Rattus norvegicus: one gene and its partner. The protein of the gene in region 1 binds, or shares a complex with, the protein of each later gene. Links are inferred from orthologs where the notes say so. Each region holds a gene or a part of one and is shown on either strand. Other genes may lie near its edges.

Region 1 (9,800 bases):
AGGAGAAGCCAGGATGCAGAAGCATAGCACTGGACATGAAGAGCTCGCGGGAGACAGTGCACAGAGGCCTGCTCTCAGGACATTGTGGAGGCTGTCACTTGGTCTTGGGTCTGTCTGTCTCATCTCCTCTGCCCATGTGTTGTGTGTCCCCCACCCCCGCCAGCTTTACACTGAGTTTCAAGCTTATCCCTGGGGATTACTGCAGTATCCAGGAAACCAGGTCAGCTGGCATCCTGCAGCTGGGCCAACCTCAGAAGAATAGATTCCCCCCCACCCCCAACCCCATCAACCCCACTGCAGGGCAGTTGGCCTGCTTCCTTCAGCCCTCACTTAGCCCTCACTTAGCCCTTCTCTTGGCCCACCTTTGTTTTCTGCCTCCCACCATCTACAACCCACTGCAGTCGATTGAAAGCTCCTTCCCCTTCCCCCGTCTCCTGCATGCTGCATGCATCCTTAGCTCTCAGAAAGGCACCCTACCCACCCTCTGCTGGGCCTGCCCCTCCTCTATTCCAGATGTGTCTCAGGTCACTGCTCGCTAGGTAGCCGTCTCCCCTATACAAGGGAGCCCTTGTGGGTGGGACTGAGGCTGTGTTGGTCCCTGCTGTGTCCTTGGCAAGGGCTGGACACGTAAGACCTGGTCATTTGTTGCCAAGTGAAACAGAATCCATGAATGTATTCATTTGTTCAGTCAACAAATGGGCCAGGCCCAGCACTGTCGAAGCAAGAGGATCTAAAAACAGCCTCGTCCTCCCCTTCCAGGAGTCACAGCCTGGGGGAGAACGAGGAGCAAAGATGATTCCAGGTGCCTCTGGAAAGTATGGTGGTGCCAGCACCATAGCACTGGCCTCTGGGGCAGGGACTCAGTCAAGTGGAAACTGGCACAGCAGCTGGTGCAAGGGGTCCCTGCAGATCCATGGCACACCTCTGGGGTCATGGGAAGTGTGCACACTAGCAAACTCGGTTCCATGGCATGTCTCTGGTTGCTGTGTGGGGAGCAGGAGTGGGAGAAACTGGAGGACAGAGCTGCCTGGGGAGTGGGGGCTTGGTCTGTCTGTCTGCAGGGCCATGTAAGGAAGCCCCAACTCATCTGCTTCTGCACCCGAGTATCTGCATGACCCAGCTGTGCAGAAGTGGGCAGGCTGGGGCGGTTCCATCCCTGGATGGTGAGTGTCTGGGGTGATCACAGTGAGACTCCCTGGCTCCCCCTCCACCAGGCTTCACCATTATCATTGAACCCTTTGACGACAGGACCCCCACCATCACCAACCCCATTCTGCACTTCAGGTGAGATGCAGCCCTGCGTGGGTGGGACAGGCCTCGACCCTGCCCTCTGCTCTGTGTGACCCTGTATTGCCCCACAGCTGTATGGACGCCTCCTTGGCCATCAAGCCTGTGTTTGAACGCTTCCAGTCTGTCATCATCACGTCCGGGGTGAGGACTCTGTGCTGTTCCTCCATCAGGGTCCTGGTCTTTGGCCATCCTGCTGAGGTCTCCCTTGCTGTCTCTGTTACAGACACTGTCTCCACTGGACATCTACCCCAAGATCCTGGACTTCCACCCGGTTACAATGGCAACCTTCACCATGACACTGGCCCGAGTCTGCCTCTGCCCAATGGTGAGTGGGTGAGGCAGGTGAGGTCGCCTGCCTCCTGGCTTCAACTACGGCAGCCGGCTGCTCAGCTGAGGCTCAGACCTGGTGGATGCACCAAATTACTAAGTGCTGCCAACATGGGAGGGACCCTCAGGCCCCTTCCCAGCAACATGGCACTTAGACACGTGCGCGCAAAGAGTACGCTGGTGCGACGCAGGCCTGGGCAGCTGGTGTTTGGGCATCATCTTACTGAGGGTGGCTTTGTCATTTGACATCCAGCTGTTTCTTGGGTAATGAGCCTCCCTCTGAAGCCTGGGACAGAGCTGTCCCCTCAGCCTCATGACCTTTCCAGTTCAGAGCCCCACAGCTCTCTAGGCGTGTTCACCCCAGGGCCTCGAGTCACAGCAGCCAAGGGAAGCCTGGCACAGAATCACATGCCCTGGAAAACCTTACTGTGGGGAGGGCTTGTAGCTGGGTCACCTGCTTATTGAGCACAGGCGTTGTGGAGGGCCACGTCAGAGGCTGCCTGCCTGCAGGCCTCTCGTCTCTGCAGCAGGGTTGGCTGCAGAGGGTTGCTAATGGGATGTATGCTGTGGCGTGACCTGTGTCTGGAACTGCCCAAGGCTGGAATATAGCACTACTTAAAAGCACAGAAGTCCTTCCCCAGGGCTTGTTGCTGTGTGACTGTGTGAGTGGCTCATGGTTGAGCTCTAGGCATTTGTCCAAGCAGTGCCAACCATAGGCTTAGGCCACGTGACCTACTGTATCCATACAGAGACTTAGGCCATGTGATCTGCTGTCCCCGTACATAGGCTTCCCTGAACTCGGGCCTTATTTGATCCAGTGCTTGCCTATCATGCACGGGGCACTCATCTCAAATCTGGGAGAGGGGCAGGAGAACCAGGATCACCTTGGCTACACAGAACTTCAGGGGGTTGGAGAACAGCCTTCTCATGGGCTTGGGAGGATGGAGAGCCTTGGGGAGGCTCCTAATCTGAAGGCCAGCCTGGGCTACATGAGACACCATCTCAAGCAAGGGGGTTTTGACTGTCATTGTGTTTACACTGTCCTTAACTCTGACTCTTCCAGATCATTGGCCGTGGTAATGACCAGGTAGCAATCAGTTCCAAATTTGAGACCAGAGAAGATATCGGTGAGTCACCCGGAGGCTTGGTCGGGTGGGTCTCAGGTGGCCTAGGACCTGTGCCATCGCAAGACCCCAGTCTCTATGGCTAGCACAGGGGGCCTTCCCACCCTCAGCGCCCTGGGTCTCTTCATTTGGAGATCTGCACTACCACTGAGTTAAGCACATAGCACAGGGCCCCTGGGACTTTGGGCACTGGCTCCTGAGGGTCACATGGAAGAGACAACCACTCCACTTGTTTCTTGTGCTGTCATAAGTTTCATGGTCTTGATATCAGGGATGCTTGGGAGAATGAATTGGGAATATGGGTATGTGGCCTCAGTGGGAGGCAGGAGAGTCCAGTCTCTACCCTACTCTTATAGCTGTAATCCGCAACTATGGCAACCTCCTGCTGGAGATGTCTGCCGTGGTCCCTGATGGCATCGTGGCCTTCTTCACCAGCTACCAGTACATGGAAAGCACTGTAGCCTCCTGGTATGAGCAGGTAACGCCTGCCCACTGCCGCCCACACTCTCAGCTCTGCTCTTCCTGTGGCTTCACCCACTCTTTCTACTGGTGACGACATGTCACAGGGTGGGACAGTGATGCCAACAGCACCCCTACCCTGCCTGTCCCCACCACAGGGGACTATCCCACCTTTGGGGTTCGTGTGCTGCAGTGCTCCTGGGGTCACTGCAGACTACATCCTAGCAAGAAGGCTTGGTGCTAGGATGTGCAGATTCTGGAGGGCTAAGCTAGATCAGGAGCTCTCAAACCTGTGCGGTTGGATGGAGCCGTGGGGTTCTATGCCGCATGGGGATGCTCTTCTGTCTTGTGACTGCTGAGCCCAGCTTTCAGGCCTAGTTTGAGCAGGCACTGTAGACTGGGTGTGTCTCAGGCAGGGCGTGTCCCAGTGAGGGGCTGTAGAATGGTGGAGCAAGCATACGTGTAACATGTACAGGCCATTATCCCAGTCAGTCCCTGGTTCTGAGAACAGAAACCTGCCAGCCTGACTGTTGAAGCCAGAGTCTGTGTCTCTGAGACACAACAGTCTCACTGGGCTCGGTGAGATAGGGTCAGAGTTCATTTCTTCTCAAGTAAAACTCCCTCCCGTATTTAGCATCTTTGGTAGAGTGTGCTCACTGGGCTACACAGGTAACCCTGCCTGGTCTCTCTGAACCCAGAGTCTGTTCTGGTGGGCTGCCTGATTTTGTCTCTGTCCCTCGCTCACCACTGCAGTGACAGATTTGGTCTGAGGACGGCCTGGTTGGTCCTGCCGTGGTTGTCAGCAGACCCTCCACCAGTCACTTGCCACTCTGGGGCCTCTTGCCCACCTTGGGTGGTGATTGGCTCCCCACTTTAGGCTGCCAATGAGGTTGGACAGCTGGGGGCCTAGAGAAGGGTCTTCATGGAGGCCATAGCAGTGGGGCTGAAATTGGAGTGCTTGACTCTGTGTGGCTTGAGCCCTGACCTCCCTGTCACCCCCAGGGCATCCTTGAAAACATCCAGAGAAACAAACTGCTCTTCATTGAGACCCAGGATGGGGCTGAGACCAGTGTGGCCCTGGAGAAGTACCAAGAGGTGAGTGCCTGGGACAGGCAGGGGAAGGCCGGCAGCCAACAGGTGTGGGAGAGGGCTGAGAAGTGACTGTTTCCACCTCCCTAGGCATGTGAGAATGGCCGCGGGGCCATTCTGCTCTCAGTGGCTCGGGGCAAAGTATCAGAAGGGATTGACTTTGGTGAGTAGACCTGGCCGTTAGTCAAGGGGCCAGCCCACCCTACCACTGCTGCTCCCTTGGGGACCACTGGGCACACAGGGATTCTGTCCCCTTTCCACACCCTGGGGTGACCTAAGCACGTGCCTTAGCCCCAGCCAGCCCAGCGCGCACTGTAACCTTGCGTTCCTGCCCGCAGTGCACCACTATGGGCGGGCCGTGATCATGTTTGGCGTCCCCTATGTTTACACCCAGAGCCGAATTCTCAAGGTGAGTGGGGGAATCAGTGATGTCCTGGTGGTGGTGGTGGTGGTGGTGGTGGTGGTGGTGGTGGTGGTGGTGGTGGTGGTGGTGGTGGTGGTGGTGGTGGTGGTGGTGTCGTCGTCTTGTGGTGGGGAAGGGCAGGCTCTCCACCTCAACCTCCTTGTCCCCCAGGCCAGGCTAGAGTATCTGCGGGACCAGTTCCAGATCCGAGAGAATGACTTCCTCACCTTTGATGCCATGCGCCATGCAGCGCAGTGTGTGGGTCGCGCTATCAGGGGCAAGACAGACTATGGACTCATGGTCTTTGCTGACAAGGTGGGGTTCAGGGTTTTTGGGCACCCCAATCCAGCTAGCCCAACTTCTTCCTCACAGGGTACAGGGTAGTAGGCAGCCTGGGCTCCAACCTGGGGTCTAACATCCTTCCCCTCCCTCCTCACAGCGGTTTGCTCGAGCTGACAAGCGTGGGAAGCTGCCTCGATGGATCCAGGAGCATCTGACTGACTCCAACCTCAACCTGACCGTGGATGAGGGTGTACAGGTCGCCAAGTACTTCCTGCGGCAGATGGCACAGCCCTTCCACCGGGTAAGCCTGGGCCCCGCACGCTTCTCCCGCCACCAGGTGTGCACATGCTTCCTAGTCACCTCAGGCCCCATATTCAGGAGGTAAAGGACAGGTGAGAGCGCTAGTTCCCTTTTCCTAGTCTGGCCGTGTGCTCCAGCCACCGGACACTCTCAGTCACGTAGTTGGATGCGAGCTGACGCCTGTCCTTTGCCTCTGTCCCCTCAGGAGGATCAGTTGGGTCTGTCACTGCTCAGTCTGGAGCAGCTGCAGTCCGAGGAAACACTACAGCGAATTGAGCAGATTGCACAGCAGCTCTGAACACGGGACTGTGGCTCCCGGGAAGTGAGGGAAGGTCCCAGGGCCCCCGGCGAACACCCAGTGCCAGTGCACAGCCTTTAATTGCAGGGAGGATCACAGGGTCCCTCCCCATCCTCACATGCTGCCCAGGCAGGGTGCAGGGAGACCACCCACCCACCCTTCCTGATCCCTGAGAAGCTGTGACCACTGCAGCCAGTCCACTTAGCGCGGGCTCAAATCCTGCGTGCTGGCGCTGAGGGTCCGAGAGGCCTCATTCAGGTGCTGGGTTGAGAGCTGGGACAGGCACAGGTTAGAGTTCTTTTCCAGTTGACACTGGAGCCATTTCATGCCCTACCCACCAACTCACCCCTACATTGAGGCCCCAGGAGGCCGCCCCACCTTTCCCGTCTTGCTGAGCCTGCCAACAGCACCCTACTCCATCACTGGCTCCTCACCTGCATCCTGGCAGCCCTTGGACCATCGACGTTCAGCATATTGAGTGACATGGCTCTCTTCATCCTGAAGAGGAGCCCAAAAAGACAGGTGTGAGTTGGGAAGCTACAGGTCCCTGACTCTGACCAGTGTCACTGAGGCTGATGTCATGGAAGGTTCTTGGCAAGCTCCTGAGCTCACCCAGCACTCACCCTGCAGCCCCTGCCATGCTCTCCCCTCGGAGGCGGGAGACCAGCTTCTCACTTCCACGCCGGATGGACTCTCTGAGCTTAGAGAAGGAACTGCTCCTGCGTAGGACCTGGGGAGGGCACAGTGACCTGTGGCCATGGTGGAGGCCCACCCAGACCAGACCCAAAAGGACCTAAGGCACAGCCTGCTTACCTGCTGTTGTGCTTCACCTGCTGTGCCTCCCTGGGGGGCTCCTGAGGGACAGAAGGGACATGGAGGTGGGAGTGAGGAACGCCACACAGGAGGGTGTGCAGGAGGGTGCAGGGGTGGGCTCACCAAGCGGGGCAGGCAGGGCCTCCTGGCTGAGGATCTCCTTGTATAGCTCCTCTGCCTGCTGATACTTGTTCTGCTTCAGGTAGGCCGAGGCCTGCGGGGAGGGAGGGTAGGGGCAGGGCGTGGGCATCTTGTTTAGGCCTGGGAACTTCTCAGACCTGCCCGCCTTCCCCAGCATCCTGCCTCAGCTTACTACAGCGCAGAGCCAGTCCTGCATCTCTGCGCTGGTCTCCTACCTCAGTGGGTGAAATGTTTGGGGTCACCCCCCATGACCACAGTAAAATCTGACACAGGACTCTGAACTGGGGTTTGCTTCTGGTTTTTGTACTGAAGGGCCTGCAGGAGCCCGTGGTCTCTTCCCTCCCTACAGAACCCCCAGGACAGGACACACCCGACATGCCTTACCAGGTTGTTCTTGGTCTTAGCCACATTTGGGTCTTGTGGTCCCCCCAGGGCCTCGTAGATACTCAGGGCCCTTGCATAGTGCCGCTCCACATCCTGAAACTTGCCCTGGTTCTGGCACAGCAGGGCCAGGTTGTTGAGCTGCTTGGCCACATCAGGGTGGTCAGCACCCAGGACCTAGGGTACACAGAAGCCATCTGTCACATAGGGTAGCTGGTGAGATGCCACTGTCTTTCCAGGGTCCCGGGCTGGGAATATAGGAACAGAGTGGAAGTTAAGGGGGAGTGGAGATTAGTGAAGTTAGAGGTCATGGGGTACGGAGTCCGGCTAATCAGCAAAGATGTGAAAGGGTGCAGGGGTCAAAGTCAGGATTGGACTGTGAGCTCACTAAGGTCACAAGGTTGGGCGCTCTGGGCTCAAATGAGGTGGACTTGCCACCAAACGCAAGGCGTGGCAGGTAGCTTGAAGTACCAGTGATGGGGAGCAGGGCTGGGCACAGCACCTTCTCACGGATCTCCAGAGCACGCTGGCAGAGGGGTTCTGCCTCCCGGTAACGGCCACGTTTTCCGTAAAGGACTGCCAGGTTGTTGAGGGTGGCGGCCACCTGTAGGAAGACAGTTGTCGAAGGAGGAGGGCCCTGCAGCTCACCCTCCTGAGTCCATCTCCCCCCAAAACACACCCCCTCCCTGAACTCCGCTCACTGCAGGGTGTTCAGGACCCAGCGTCTGTTCCCGGATCTGCAGGGCGTCGTGAAGAAGCTCCGTGGCCTCCTTGTACTTGTTCTGGTCCCTGCAGGGCAGGGACGGAAGGCTGGGCTAAGCTGGTGTCACAGGCTGAACTGAGCCAGGAATGACTGGCATCCTTCAGGGGGCCCCCTTTCTCACACCTCTCAGGCCTCTAGCTCTGGGTCCCCACATTGCCAGCCCTGTTAAGCATCATGTCTCATGTCCCTTGCATTCTCTGGTGCCCAAATTCTAGATTCCGGCTTTCACTGCCTCTCTAGGTCTCTGTTCCTTTCACTTTCCTGTCCCCACCCTAGGTGCTTTACCTAGTCAGGGGGTTGCAGTGTCCCCCACTATCCCAGGTGGAGTCTGGCCCAATTAGCCACAGCCCTCACCTGTACACAAGTGCCAGGATGTTGAGCATGGTGGCCACGTCAGGGTGGCAGTGGCCTGAGCTCCGCTCCAGGTCCTCCAAGGCCTGGCGACACAGCGGAACTGCCACCTCATAGCGGCCCTGGCTAGCATACTGGATCACCAGGTTGTGCAGAGTCCGCAGACGAGCTGGGATCTCATAGCCACCCTGCTGCGCTGCTGCTGCTCCTGCTGCCTCAGGACCTGGGGGAGGTGGTGTAGAGTCAGCCACAGTGGGCCTCAGCCTGTACCCCACAGCCACCTCTCGGAGTATGGCCTTGTGCTGACAGGACACAGGGATTTCAGAAATCTAACCAGCCAGTGGCATGTTAGGTGCCAGAACCGAACATGACTGACTTCCAGCTTCCAATGTCCCTGCTCATCAGAGCCACTTGCTTCCCCTCCTCAGAGGCCTCAGTGTCCCTTAGGGCAAGGCTCTTGCCCCAGGCTTAGCCTATAGTCCTGCGTGGTTACCCTCTGATATCGTGCCCAGGGCTCCCACACACCCACCTTTCTTTTCCTCCTCTTCACTGGGGAAGAGAGAAGCCAGGCTGTCTCGGCGAGGCGGGGAATCCGGCCTCTGTGGTAAACAGGAAAGAGTATTTCTGAGAATGTCAAGTGTTGGAGGCTGAAGCCCTGAAGCTACATCAAGCCGGCCTGTGTAGCTTTCTGGTGTTTAGGACAGGGGCTCATTGCGTAGACTAGCTGGCCTGCCTCTGCCTTCAAAGTGCTGGGCTTAAAGGCATGCCACCATGCCTGGCTCCAGGACTGGTATATTTATGAGGCAAGAGTCTCACTACAATGTAGCCCAGGTTGGCCTAGAACTCACAGCATCCTCCCAGCCTCAGCCATAGTAGCTCTGAGCTTGACAAAGGCGTGGGATGAGAGCCTTAGAGGTTTCAGTGAGCTGGGAGAAGACCTGAAAGCCCTAGGGAGCATTGAGGGGATTTTGGAAGCTCACTTAGGTATGGGGATTTAGGGACCCCGTATGTACTTGAAGGGCTATGAGGCGATGAGTACTAAGGAAGACTCAAGGGCATCCTGGAGCTCCGTGGAGGACCCTGCCCCTGCTACCTGGCTCTCCTCGGGCGGGTCATACTGCCTCAGCTGCCCCAGGAACTGAAGGTGGCTTTTCTCCTCTTCCAGCTGGGCCACAGCCTCCTCACTGGCCCGCAGTCGCCTCTGTGTCTCCTCCAGCTCCTCTCGAAGCCATGTGTTCTCTTGGGCTAGCCTCCGTGCCTGTGCCCGTAGCCTCTGCTTCTCAGCCTCCAACACACCCACGTGTGCAGACAGGGCCAGCAGCACCTGCGGAGCACTGACCCATGAGTAGGAGTGGATTCGTCCAAGGACAGCCCCAGCCCCAGCCCAGGTTTTACATTAAGTCACACATACCCATTCTACACAGTTTCCCCCAGATTCTCAAGACACCCTGCTATGTGGCTCTGATAAAGTTAAGAGTTTCCCAGAAATTCCTGACTTCACCTAAATTACACATAGGACTAATTCCTATTCCAGCTATGAAAGCCAGCAGCACCTGCCTAACAGGAGCGTGGCTCAGTGTAGAGCCCCTGCCTAGAATCCCCCAGGGAGGGGCTGGGGGCGTGGCTCAGTGGTAGAGCCCCTGCCTAGGATCCCCCAGTGAGGGGCTGGGGGCGTGGCTCAGTGGTAGAGCCCCTGCCTAGGATCCCCCAGTGAGGGGCTGGGGGCGTGTCTCAGTGGTAGAGCCCCTGCCTAGAATCCCCCAGTGAGGGGCTGGGGGC
Region 2 (9,465 bases), on another chromosome or scaffold:
GCATTCAAAATAATAAACAAATCTAAAAAATTACCAAAAAAAAAATCAAGATGATCAAGACATTTAGCTGTGTTATGTGGGAGCAAAAAGTGCATTTCTCCCTCAGATTTTTACAATGCCAGAATCCCTGACAAGAGCAAAGATGAAGTTCAGTGGATAAAAGCCATTCAAGTTGACAGTCAGGATTACATATCAAGCTTAACCTGCAGAACCACAGGGTTCTGAAAGTTGAAGGGCATGGTGCTTTGGTGAGGACCTCCCTTCACATGGCATCATGGATATAAAAGGGAAAGAGAACATGATAAAGGTGAGATGCACGGTCTGGTGTGCAAAGAGTACAAAATACATTAATTCCTCCTAAGGCCATGCCCCCAATATCTAAGGGCATCCCACTAGACCTCAGTTCTTTTTAAAAATTCATTAAAGCAATTTTTATAGTTTGCATGTATGCACACATATATGCCTCTGGTGCATGTATGGAGGTCAGAGGACAACTTTTGGGAGTCGGTTTTCTCCTACCAATTAAATTCAGTTCCTCTGGCTTAGTAGAAAGTGCCTTTAGACACCAAGACATCTCTCTCTCTCTTTCTGTGTATGGATGTTCATGTGTCTGCAGGTACACGTGTGTCCATGTACATGGCAGAAAATGATATTGGATCCCTATTCAGGAATGCCATCCAATTTCTTTGAGGCAGGTCTCTCACCATCCTTGATTTACACGGCCCGAGAGCTCTTGGGATTGTATATATCTTCTTCCTCTCAGGGCTGGGATAATGAGCACTTTATGTGGGTTCTTATGATCTGTAACAAGGGTGCTGGTGGCCCTGATACTGACAAAGAACTGAGGGGTTGGGGATTTAGCTCAGTGGTAGAGCGCTTGCCTAGGAAGCGCAAGGCCCTGGGTTCGATCCCCAGCTCCGAAAAAAAGAACCAAAAAAAAAAAAAAAAAAAAAAAAAAAGAACTGAACACCAGGGACAGACAGAAGACCAAGCCCTGGAGAGGGGGGAAGTAAAAGGAATAAAAGCCTAACACTTGGAACTCCTGAGTAGACTGTGGTTTGAATATTTTCTGGGGCCCCTGGGATCGCCTCTTCCTGTTTAGATGCCCGTCCTCATGCTCCTCTGCCATTTCTCCCAATGAGAAATGTTCTTCTGTGAACATGGAATCTAAGGGAGGCTGCTTTTCCTTTCCTTGTCCACTCATATCCCTCGAACTTTCTCCCAGATGAAATCTGGGTCCGCATGCTGGCAAAAGCAAGCACTGTCATAACTGAACCTCCTCTCCAGTTCTAGTCCCTACCTCCTACGCAGTTCTGACTTCCAGGACACGAAGCTTTAGGAGACACATTTAAACTACAGCCAAACATCGGACTCTTGATCTTTCCTTAGCACCTTCTTTGACTGTGTTACATCACCCGTCAGATATTGCACTCGCTACTCTTAGTGAGCTCATGTTCGGGACAGATTTTTACCCTACTCATCATTTTAACCTCATGGACTTACAGATGGCTTATAATGGCTTCCTAAATGAAAATGGTACACATGGGCCAACCTGGGAAATGTCACTTTATGTTTTTGTTACTCTTGTTTTCTCTCTCTATGCCTGGTGACTTCTCTCCTCCTCCCTCCTTTCATGCCTCTGTGTGTGTGTGTGTGTGTGTGTGTGTGTGTGTGTGTGTGTGTGTATGTGCGTATGTGTATATATGTGTGTGTATGTATGTGTATGTGTATATGTGTGTATTATGTGTATGTGTGTATATATGTGTGTATGTATGTGTATGTGTATATGTGTGTATTATGTGTGTATGTATGTGTATGTGTATTATGTGTGTGTGTGTGTGTGTGTGTGTGTGTGTACTGAATCTCAAGTCCATTTCTACTACCTAGGTGCAGTATGACTATGAACTACTGCCCTGAATATCTTTGCAGGAGTTCTGATAAGCTGGAGCATGTCTGTTATAAAGGTCTTATGCTTTAAGGTTTATTTATGAGTATGGGTATTTTGTCTACATGTATGTCTGCACACTAGAACACCATGGACAATAGTTATAGACTGTGCGAGACACCATGTAGATGCTAGGAACTGAATCCATGACCTCTGTAAGAGCAGCCATGCTCTTAACTGCTGGGAGGTCTCTCCAGTCCCTGTTGTGATTTCTCACATGCTGTTCAGGAAAGCACCGAGAAATGGTTAAAAAGCTGTCAATACTATATAACCATTTATTTTAACCAATGCATTCCTTCTACAAATATAGATACACAGCAGTTTTGTAAAACTCATTTTATTTACAAACCAAAAGACTACCTATTCTTGGACCAGTGAGATCATGCAGCAGATAAAGGCCCTGAGTTCAATCCCCAGAATCTATGCAAAACTGGAAACAGAGAACAAATTCCACAAAATTATCCTCTAATCTCTTCTGTGCACCTCTGTATATATAATAAAAATACATTTTCTTGTCTTGTAATAAATACTTCTATCAATTTTTAAAAAGATTTATTTTCTGTGTATGTGAAGGGTGTGTATGGTGTGTTTCACCTCCAAAAGAGAGACCAGAAAGGGTTTAGATCCCTTGTAGCTGAAGTCACAGGTGTTTGTGAGCCATCTGGTGTGGGTGCTGGGAAATGAACCCAGGCCCTCTGAAAGCATCAAGTGTTAACCACAGAGCCACCTCTCCAGCCCATTTTTTATTAAGTTACAGGGTTTACTAGTGTTCACTAATGACCCAAAAACTGGAGAAGTGTTTGTCCCCCTTATTGTATAGACTTTTGTTTCTCTTTAAATTGAAAATATCACTTTTTCATTTAGCTTTCTACTTATTCAAATGTCTCAACAGATATGATAAAGGGTTCTCAATATTAAACTTCACCTGCTCAGAATTGTTAAATACACAGGAACAATTTAACAGGATGGTATGTTACCTAAACTGGCATGGATTCTTGGGAATTTGCTAAGTAGCCACGCCTCTTTGTGAATTTTTTTTTTTTTTTTGAGACAAGATCTCACTATGTAGCCCTGGTTTTATATCACTTTGTAAACCAGGCTAGTCTCAAATTCAAAAGATCCACCTGCCTTTGCCTGCCTCGGGCATGCTAGGATTAAAGGCATGCGCCACTACAAACTGATCTCCTTCAACTCTTGATCCTCGCGCTCAGTGATTGATTCATTACCACCACACAGGGGTTAGTCTTTTTTTTTTTTTCTTAAGACACAATTCAATCATTGAAAGAGATTTCAGTATGTTTCTGTAGTCACCTACCCAGCTTTTCAACATAGGACATTCCTTGGATCAGCCACTTAGTTCAGTCCTGCACCTCACTTTCTTCTGAAATGGCTTACTTGACGCTCCCAGGTGCCACGGCAATAGTGTGTTGCCGAAAATAAACACTTTAATCTCCAAGCAGGCAGCACAGAACCACACCTCCAACGACCGGAAGCCGCTAGACTGCGCCCGGACCGCCCCTGTCGCGGGCAGTCTCGCGGGTTTCCCCTAGTGTGATAGCAGGGTGCCTGACCTACCGTCGTCCGCCCGCTTTCTCGGCCCCGCCCATTCACTTGGCCCCACCCCGGAGCCGGATTGGTTCTTTTCCTTAGAAGAGCCCGTCCGTGCGGCTTCCGTCTCCGGCAGTGTCTGTGGCAGTGCGCAGGGCGATGGCGGCAGGTGGAAGCGATCCTCGAGCTGGCGACGTAGAAGAAGATGCTTCCCAGCTCATCTTTCCCAAAGGTAGTATCCGGGACAGTTCGACTCTGAGGTGACATTGTCCTTGAGTTATAGTCGTTATCCGTTCCCTGCCCACAGGGAGCATTCGGGGCCGGCACGGGGGATTGATTGGTCAGCCCGGTACAAATGAACCCTTTCGTAGTTAATTCCCCTACACCCAGCAGTTTTGTTTTTGTGAGAGCGTCTAATTAGGTATCCTAGGCTAGCCTCCACCTTATCACATTCGTGCCCTTTCCTCTTGAGTGCTAGAATTAAAGGCATGCGCCATCGCTCTTGATTTTTAGGGGGAGTTAAGCTATGCCTTTTCCTGTCATGCAGAAGATCTGGAGCAGAGGTCTCATTTCAAAATTGGCAGCCAGTAAAAGCTGAGCTATGGTTCCTCTCACAGTGCTAGTCAAAGCGTTTCAAGATCTGTGGGTCAGAAGTGCTCTCTGCCCTGGCCTCTGAGGAGAGATGCTGTTGCCGTTGGTTTCTGAACCTTCGTTGTAGCTTTTCGAGTTAGGAAGAACGTTTGAGAGCAAGATGGGTTCCGGTTTGGGATGTCTGGTACTTCCTTTTGTCGGATGTGTGCCAGCCTCTGTGCATAGTGCTGTTCCTGCTACTAAACTAGTCTAAACTAGTCACCTTGCCCCAGGAAATCAATCCCCTGTCTCTTCCTACCAACTGTTAGATATAGGAACCCTCTGTACCTGTTTTGTGGGTTCTGAGGATCCTAACTCTGCTTCTTACACTGGAGTGGCAAGTACATTATCCACTTAATCATCTGCCCAGCCCCAGCAAGTGAGGTTATCTTCTGTCTTTTGTGTGTGTTTTTAATTGAGATGGAGAATCTTTGTTTTTAAATTTTTATATATAAGGATTATTTTGCCTGCGTGTAGGTCTGCATGCATGTGAGGTGTCCATAGAAGCCAGATGTACTAATTGGACTTAAAAGATGATTTCGAGCCATCTTGTTGGTGCTGTGTGTGGCAGAACCCTTATCCTCTAGAAGATTAGCCAATGCTCTTAAGTGCGGAGCTGTCGTCTCTCCAGCCCTTATGTCACTGTTGTAAAATTTATTTTTATTTTAATTATGTCTGTGCAGGTATCTGAGGAGGGGAGAGGTGCTATGAGGTGTCTGATGGGGTGCTGAGAATTGAACTTCCTTCGAAAGAGCAGTGCATGCTCATTTCTCTAGCCTTCTGGTTTCGTTTGTTTGGTGTTTTTGAGTCTCTCTGGCTATCTTACAGCTCATCAATAATAGACCAGGCTGGCCTCAAACACAGAGATCATCCTGCCTCTGCCTCCCAAATGCTGAGACTTTGAAAAGAGTATTTTCAGTTCACATTTATTCTTCTTCCAGAGTTCGAAACAGCTGAGACGCTCCTGAACTCTGAAGTTCACATGCTTCTGGAGCACCGAAAGCAGCAGAATGAGAGTGCGGAGGACGAACAGGAGCTTTCAGAGGTTTTCATGAAAACCCTGAACTATACAGCCCGTTTCAGCCGGTTCAAAAACAGAGAGACCATTGCCAGTGTTCGTAGGTGAGTACTGAACATAAGCCCAAAACTAAAATCTACTTATGTATGTGTTATGGGAGTTTGGCTGCTTGTATGTCTGTGCACCATGTGTGTAAACACCCACAGAGGCCAGAATAGGGCGTTAGCTCCCCAGGGCTGGAATTACGGACAGTCGTGAGTCACTGTGTAGGTGCTGGGACTCGAAACCCAAGTCCTCTGAAAGAGCAGCTGGTGCCCTCAGCTGCTGAACCGCATCTCCAGCCCTACAAAACGGTTTTATTATTATAGACTCTCGTGAAAGACAGAGGCTGTAGGATCCAGGAGTTCAAGGGCATCCTTAGGGGCATAGTAGGTTCAAAGCCAGCCTTGATTGCATGAGACGCTGTTTTAAAAATGCTAACAAAGCAGGGGCCGCTGAGATGGCTCAGTGGGTAAAACATGCTTCAGCCAAGAGGTGGTGGTGCACCCCTTTAACCCAGCACTCAGGAGGTAGAGGCAAGCATATCTCTGAGTTCGATGCCAGCCTGGTCTATAGAACAAACAAACAAATGCAACCAAAAGTGCTTTCTGGGTAAGTCTTAGGACCTGAGCTTATATAGAACCCCAGATGCACCCAGAAGCTCTGAGAATGAATGAGAAGTTGCCTTCTAAGTATGTATGCTTACGCACTTACACATACACACAAATGGCTAAATAAACAGACCACACACAAATACTTAGGGGAAAAACAAACAAACAAACAAAAAAACCCTAACTGGGTATGCCTTTAATCCCAGAATTTGAGAGACAGAGACAGGAGAATCTCTGTTTGACTCCAGCCTGGTCTACATAGCAAGTTCCAGGACTACATAGATAGAACCTGTTAAAAAAAAGTAATCAAGGGCTTGAAGCCCCCACCCCCACCCCCAAATTTTGCCTACCAGAAAAAAGGCTCTCAGACTTGACTCAGTCAAAATTTTCTCCACTGCATCACAAATTCTGGGGTTACTAGTATATGCCATCATGCACTCGCTGCCCTCCAGGTACGATTTCTTGTATTCATTTTTATTTTATTATTTTTTTTATTGGATATTTTATGTATTTACATTTCAAGTGTTATCCCCTTTCCAGTTTCCCCTCTGGAACTCCTCTATCCCATCTCTCCAACCCCTGCTTCTACGAGGGTGCTCCCCCACCCACCCACTCCCAGCTCACTGCCCTGGCATTCCCCTATACTGGGACATCCAGTCTTTGCAGGACCAAGGGCCTCTTCTATTGATGCCAGACAATGCCATCCTCTGCTACATATGTAGCTGGAGACATGGGTCGCTCCATGTGTATTCTTTGGTTGGTGGTTTAGTCTCTGGGAGCTCTGTGGGGATGGAATCTGGTTGGTTGATATTGTTCCTGTAGGGTTGCAAACCCCTTTGGCTCCTTTAGTCCTTTATCTAACTCCTCCATTGGAGACCTTGTGCTCAGTCCAGTGGTTGGCTGTGAGCATCTGCCTCTGTCAGAGCCTCTCAGGAGACAGCTATATCAGGCTCCAGTCAGTATGCACTTGGCATCAGCAATATTATTTTTATTTTATACACACACATACACACACACACACACACACACACACACACACACACACACACACATGAGGGGGCGGGGAGAGGGGATTTCTTTATATAACTTGGATATATATATATGTGTATATATATATGTGTGTATATATATATATATATATATATATATTTTTTTTTTTTTTTTTTTTTTTTTTTTTTTGAGGCAGAGTCTCATTATCTAGCCCCGGCTGGTCTAGAACTCCATATTAGACCAGGTTGTTTTCTATCTCACAGAGATCCACCTGTTTTGAGATTAAAGGTGTCGAACACCACACTGTCTTTTGTTTTTTAGAAAAAATTTATATTATTGTCATCGTTATTATTACTGAGACAGATTTGTATCTCTGTTTAGTGAAGAGCATGCTGTGTAGACCAGGCTGCTGTGAATGTGTGCTATTAGGCACAGAAAATCATTTTTTGTTATTTTGTTTATATGTATATACACGCTTGTATATATGTGCACCATGTGTGTTCAGTGCCAGCACTAGCAGAGGCCAGAGAGGAGTTGTAGACACATGGACCCACCCAGTGCAGTTGTTAACTCAAGTCCTCTGAAAATTAGCAGATGCTGTTACTGCCGAGCCATTTTTCCAGTCCCCCAGAGTATATAAGTTCTTACTACATTCATTTGGAAACCAAACTTATTCTCTCGTAAGCTTTATTTTATAGTGCAGGCTATGGAGATCCTGAAGGTGCAGCTTACACACAGATTTGCACAGAGTTTGGGGTATTTCAAAGTTAAAGGAGAGGAGTTTCCCTCAACATACGCAATAGGCTAGCCAATCAGATCTCCTGAATTGCTTAACATTAACTTATCAAAGGTAGCAGATAGAGCAAAGAGCTAGAGAGTCACTTCCTTTTGAATATTTATTTATTTTTTTTTCTTTTCTTTTCTTTTTTTTTTTTTTGGAGCTGGGGACCGAACCCAGGGCCTTGTGCTTGCTAGGCAAGCGCTCTACCACTGAGCCAAATCCCCAGCCCCTTGAATATTTATTATTGCATTTTATTTTATGTGTGTGTTTGCCTCTGCACCACACAAGTGCCTAGTACTGGCAGAGTCCAAAGAGGGGTATCAGATCCAGTGGATCTGGAATTTCAGACAGTTGTGAGCCACCATGTGGGTACTGTAAATTGAACCCGGGACCTCTGAAAAGAGCAACTCTCAACTACTGGTTTCTTGGCAGTAGTTACAGCACATACATTCCTCTTTACCCAGCTGTGCTCTTCTCAGGGTTCTTGGCTGTCTACGGTGGGTTCTTTGTTTTCTTTTTCTGGAACGTCTTGATTTTCTGGGGTAGGAACAGAAAGTGATTTCAAAGGGGGATTCTGATGCCCATATAGCCACAATCAAAGATTATAAATACCTTTTCTCACCTACATTTGATCTTTTTGCTATTGATGGACTTAGCATTTGACCAGCACTGAATGAGACTGTAGTTTTTTGTTTCGTATTAGCATATAACTGCAGGTAATTACAGGTTCCATTGTGACATTTTTATTCAGGTATATAGTATAGTATAGATCGTGCTCATTTCCTGTCTCTGTCCCTCTCTAACGTCCTGTGTTCTATTTCCCTCACACTCAGCCTGCTTCTCCAGAAGAAGTTACATAAGTTTGAATTGGCTTGTTTAGCCAATCTGTGCCCGGAGACTGCTGAGGAGTCCAAAGCGCTGATTCCAAGGTTCGTACGGGATGGGATGGGGTTTGTCTATTTTATATGGATTTCTCTAAGTCAGATTGCTAGATCCACATGTCGTAAGCGTTTAGCAGTTGGGTTGATGCCATGCTAGCGTTGAGTAAGAGTGTAGTTGAGTGGTGTTTGAGATGGGACTTGGGGGTTGGTTTTGTGCTTTGCTGGTGGCAGTCTCAGGTAGCCAAGGCTTTCCTTGAGCTCTTGATTGCCCTGCTTTCACCTCAAGGGCTGGGATTACAGGCATGAACGAGCATGCTGGCTTAAGAATAGTTTGAGTTTACCCATTAATTGTTTGTGTGCATGTGTACACACGCATGCCTGTGAATGTCACATTAAGCACGTGAGGGTCAGTGGACAGTTTCTCTTCGTTTACTAGGTAGGTTCCCAGATTAAACTCAGGTTGTTAGATTTGGTGGCAGACAACCTTTATTAGCTGAACCATCTTGGAAGCCTGAGAACAATTGTCTTTTTTTTTTCCCTCTATTCTTTTTTTCGGAGCTGGGGACCAAACCCAGGGCCTTGCGCTTGCTAGACAAGCACTCTACCACTGAGCCAAATCCCCAACCCGAGAATAATTGTCTTATACCCCAGGACAGGAAGAATATGGAACAGAAGAGGGTGGTAGGAATATAGCTCAGTGGTAGAACTTTTTGCCTATCGTGTCTGGGACTGAGTTTGAGCTCCCAGTACCTCAGAGAGGAGCATTAGAAATGGGCAGAATTCGCCTTCCTGTAGGGAGTAGCCAAGCATGTGACTATATCTAGAGAAATCAATGGGAAATGGGACTTCTCCCAGACCTAAAAGGTATTCTGGGATTCTGTGTTATTGGTATAGAAGATATTGGACATAATCATTAAGTCACTCAACAAATGAGACACAAAACTGCAGGGCCTGGGAGTGTGTGTTTTTAATCCCAGCAGAGGCAGGCAGATCCCTGTGAGTTCTAGGGTAGCCAAGGCTGC

The links.
Region 2: Ercc2 (region 1) and Polr2d share a complex: the UniProt entries of both Homo sapiens proteins name them as parts of the TBP-based Pol II pre-initiation complex. The link is inferred for Rattus norvegicus from reciprocal best matches to the Homo sapiens genes ERCC2 and POLR2D.

What each region holds. Positions count from the first base shown.
Region 1 is NC_086019.1:88,168,296-88,178,095, forward strand, and holds the end of Ercc2 (general transcription and DNA repair factor IIH helicase subunit XPD), read left to right. Parts: intron 1-1,214; coding exon 1,215-1,284; intron 1,285-1,361; coding exon 1,362-1,431; intron 1,432-1,513; coding exon 1,514-1,615; intron 1,616-2,680; coding exon 2,681-2,744; intron 2,745-3,097; coding exon 3,098-3,219; intron 3,220-4,202; coding exon 4,203-4,295; intron 4,296-4,379; coding exon 4,380-4,452; intron 4,453-4,627; coding exon 4,628-4,698; intron 4,699-4,863; coding exon 4,864-5,007; intron 5,008-5,131; coding exon 5,132-5,275; intron 5,276-5,479; coding exon 5,480-5,572; 3' UTR 5,573-5,773; coding exon of another isoform or gene 5,774-5,845; 3' UTR 5,846-6,006; coding exon of another isoform or gene 6,007-6,070; 3' UTR 6,071-6,109; coding exon of another isoform or gene 6,110-6,426; 3' UTR 6,427-6,508; coding exon of another isoform or gene 6,509-6,599; 3' UTR 6,600-6,807; downstream 6,808-9,800. Other genes in the region: Klc3 (kinesin light chain 3), read right to left, coding at 6,110-6,426, 6,509-6,599, 6,911-7,084, 7,410-7,511, 7,609-7,696, 8,025-8,244, 8,551-8,620, 9,115-9,345. UniProt on the Homo sapiens protein: ATP-dependent 5'-3' DNA helicase. Component of the general transcription and DNA repair factor IIH (TFIIH) core complex, not absolutely essential for minimal transcription in vitro.
Region 2 is NC_086036.1:23,688,981-23,698,445, forward strand, and holds the start of Polr2d (DNA-directed RNA polymerase II subunit RPB4), read left to right. Parts: upstream 1-3,597; 5' UTR 3,598-3,652; coding exon 3,653-3,725; intron 3,726-5,064; coding exon 5,065-5,245; intron 5,246-8,395; coding exon 8,396-8,491; intron 8,492-9,465. UniProt on the Homo sapiens protein: Core component of RNA polymerase II (Pol II), a DNA-dependent RNA polymerase which synthesizes mRNA precursors and many functional non-coding RNAs using the four ribonucleoside triphosphates as substrates.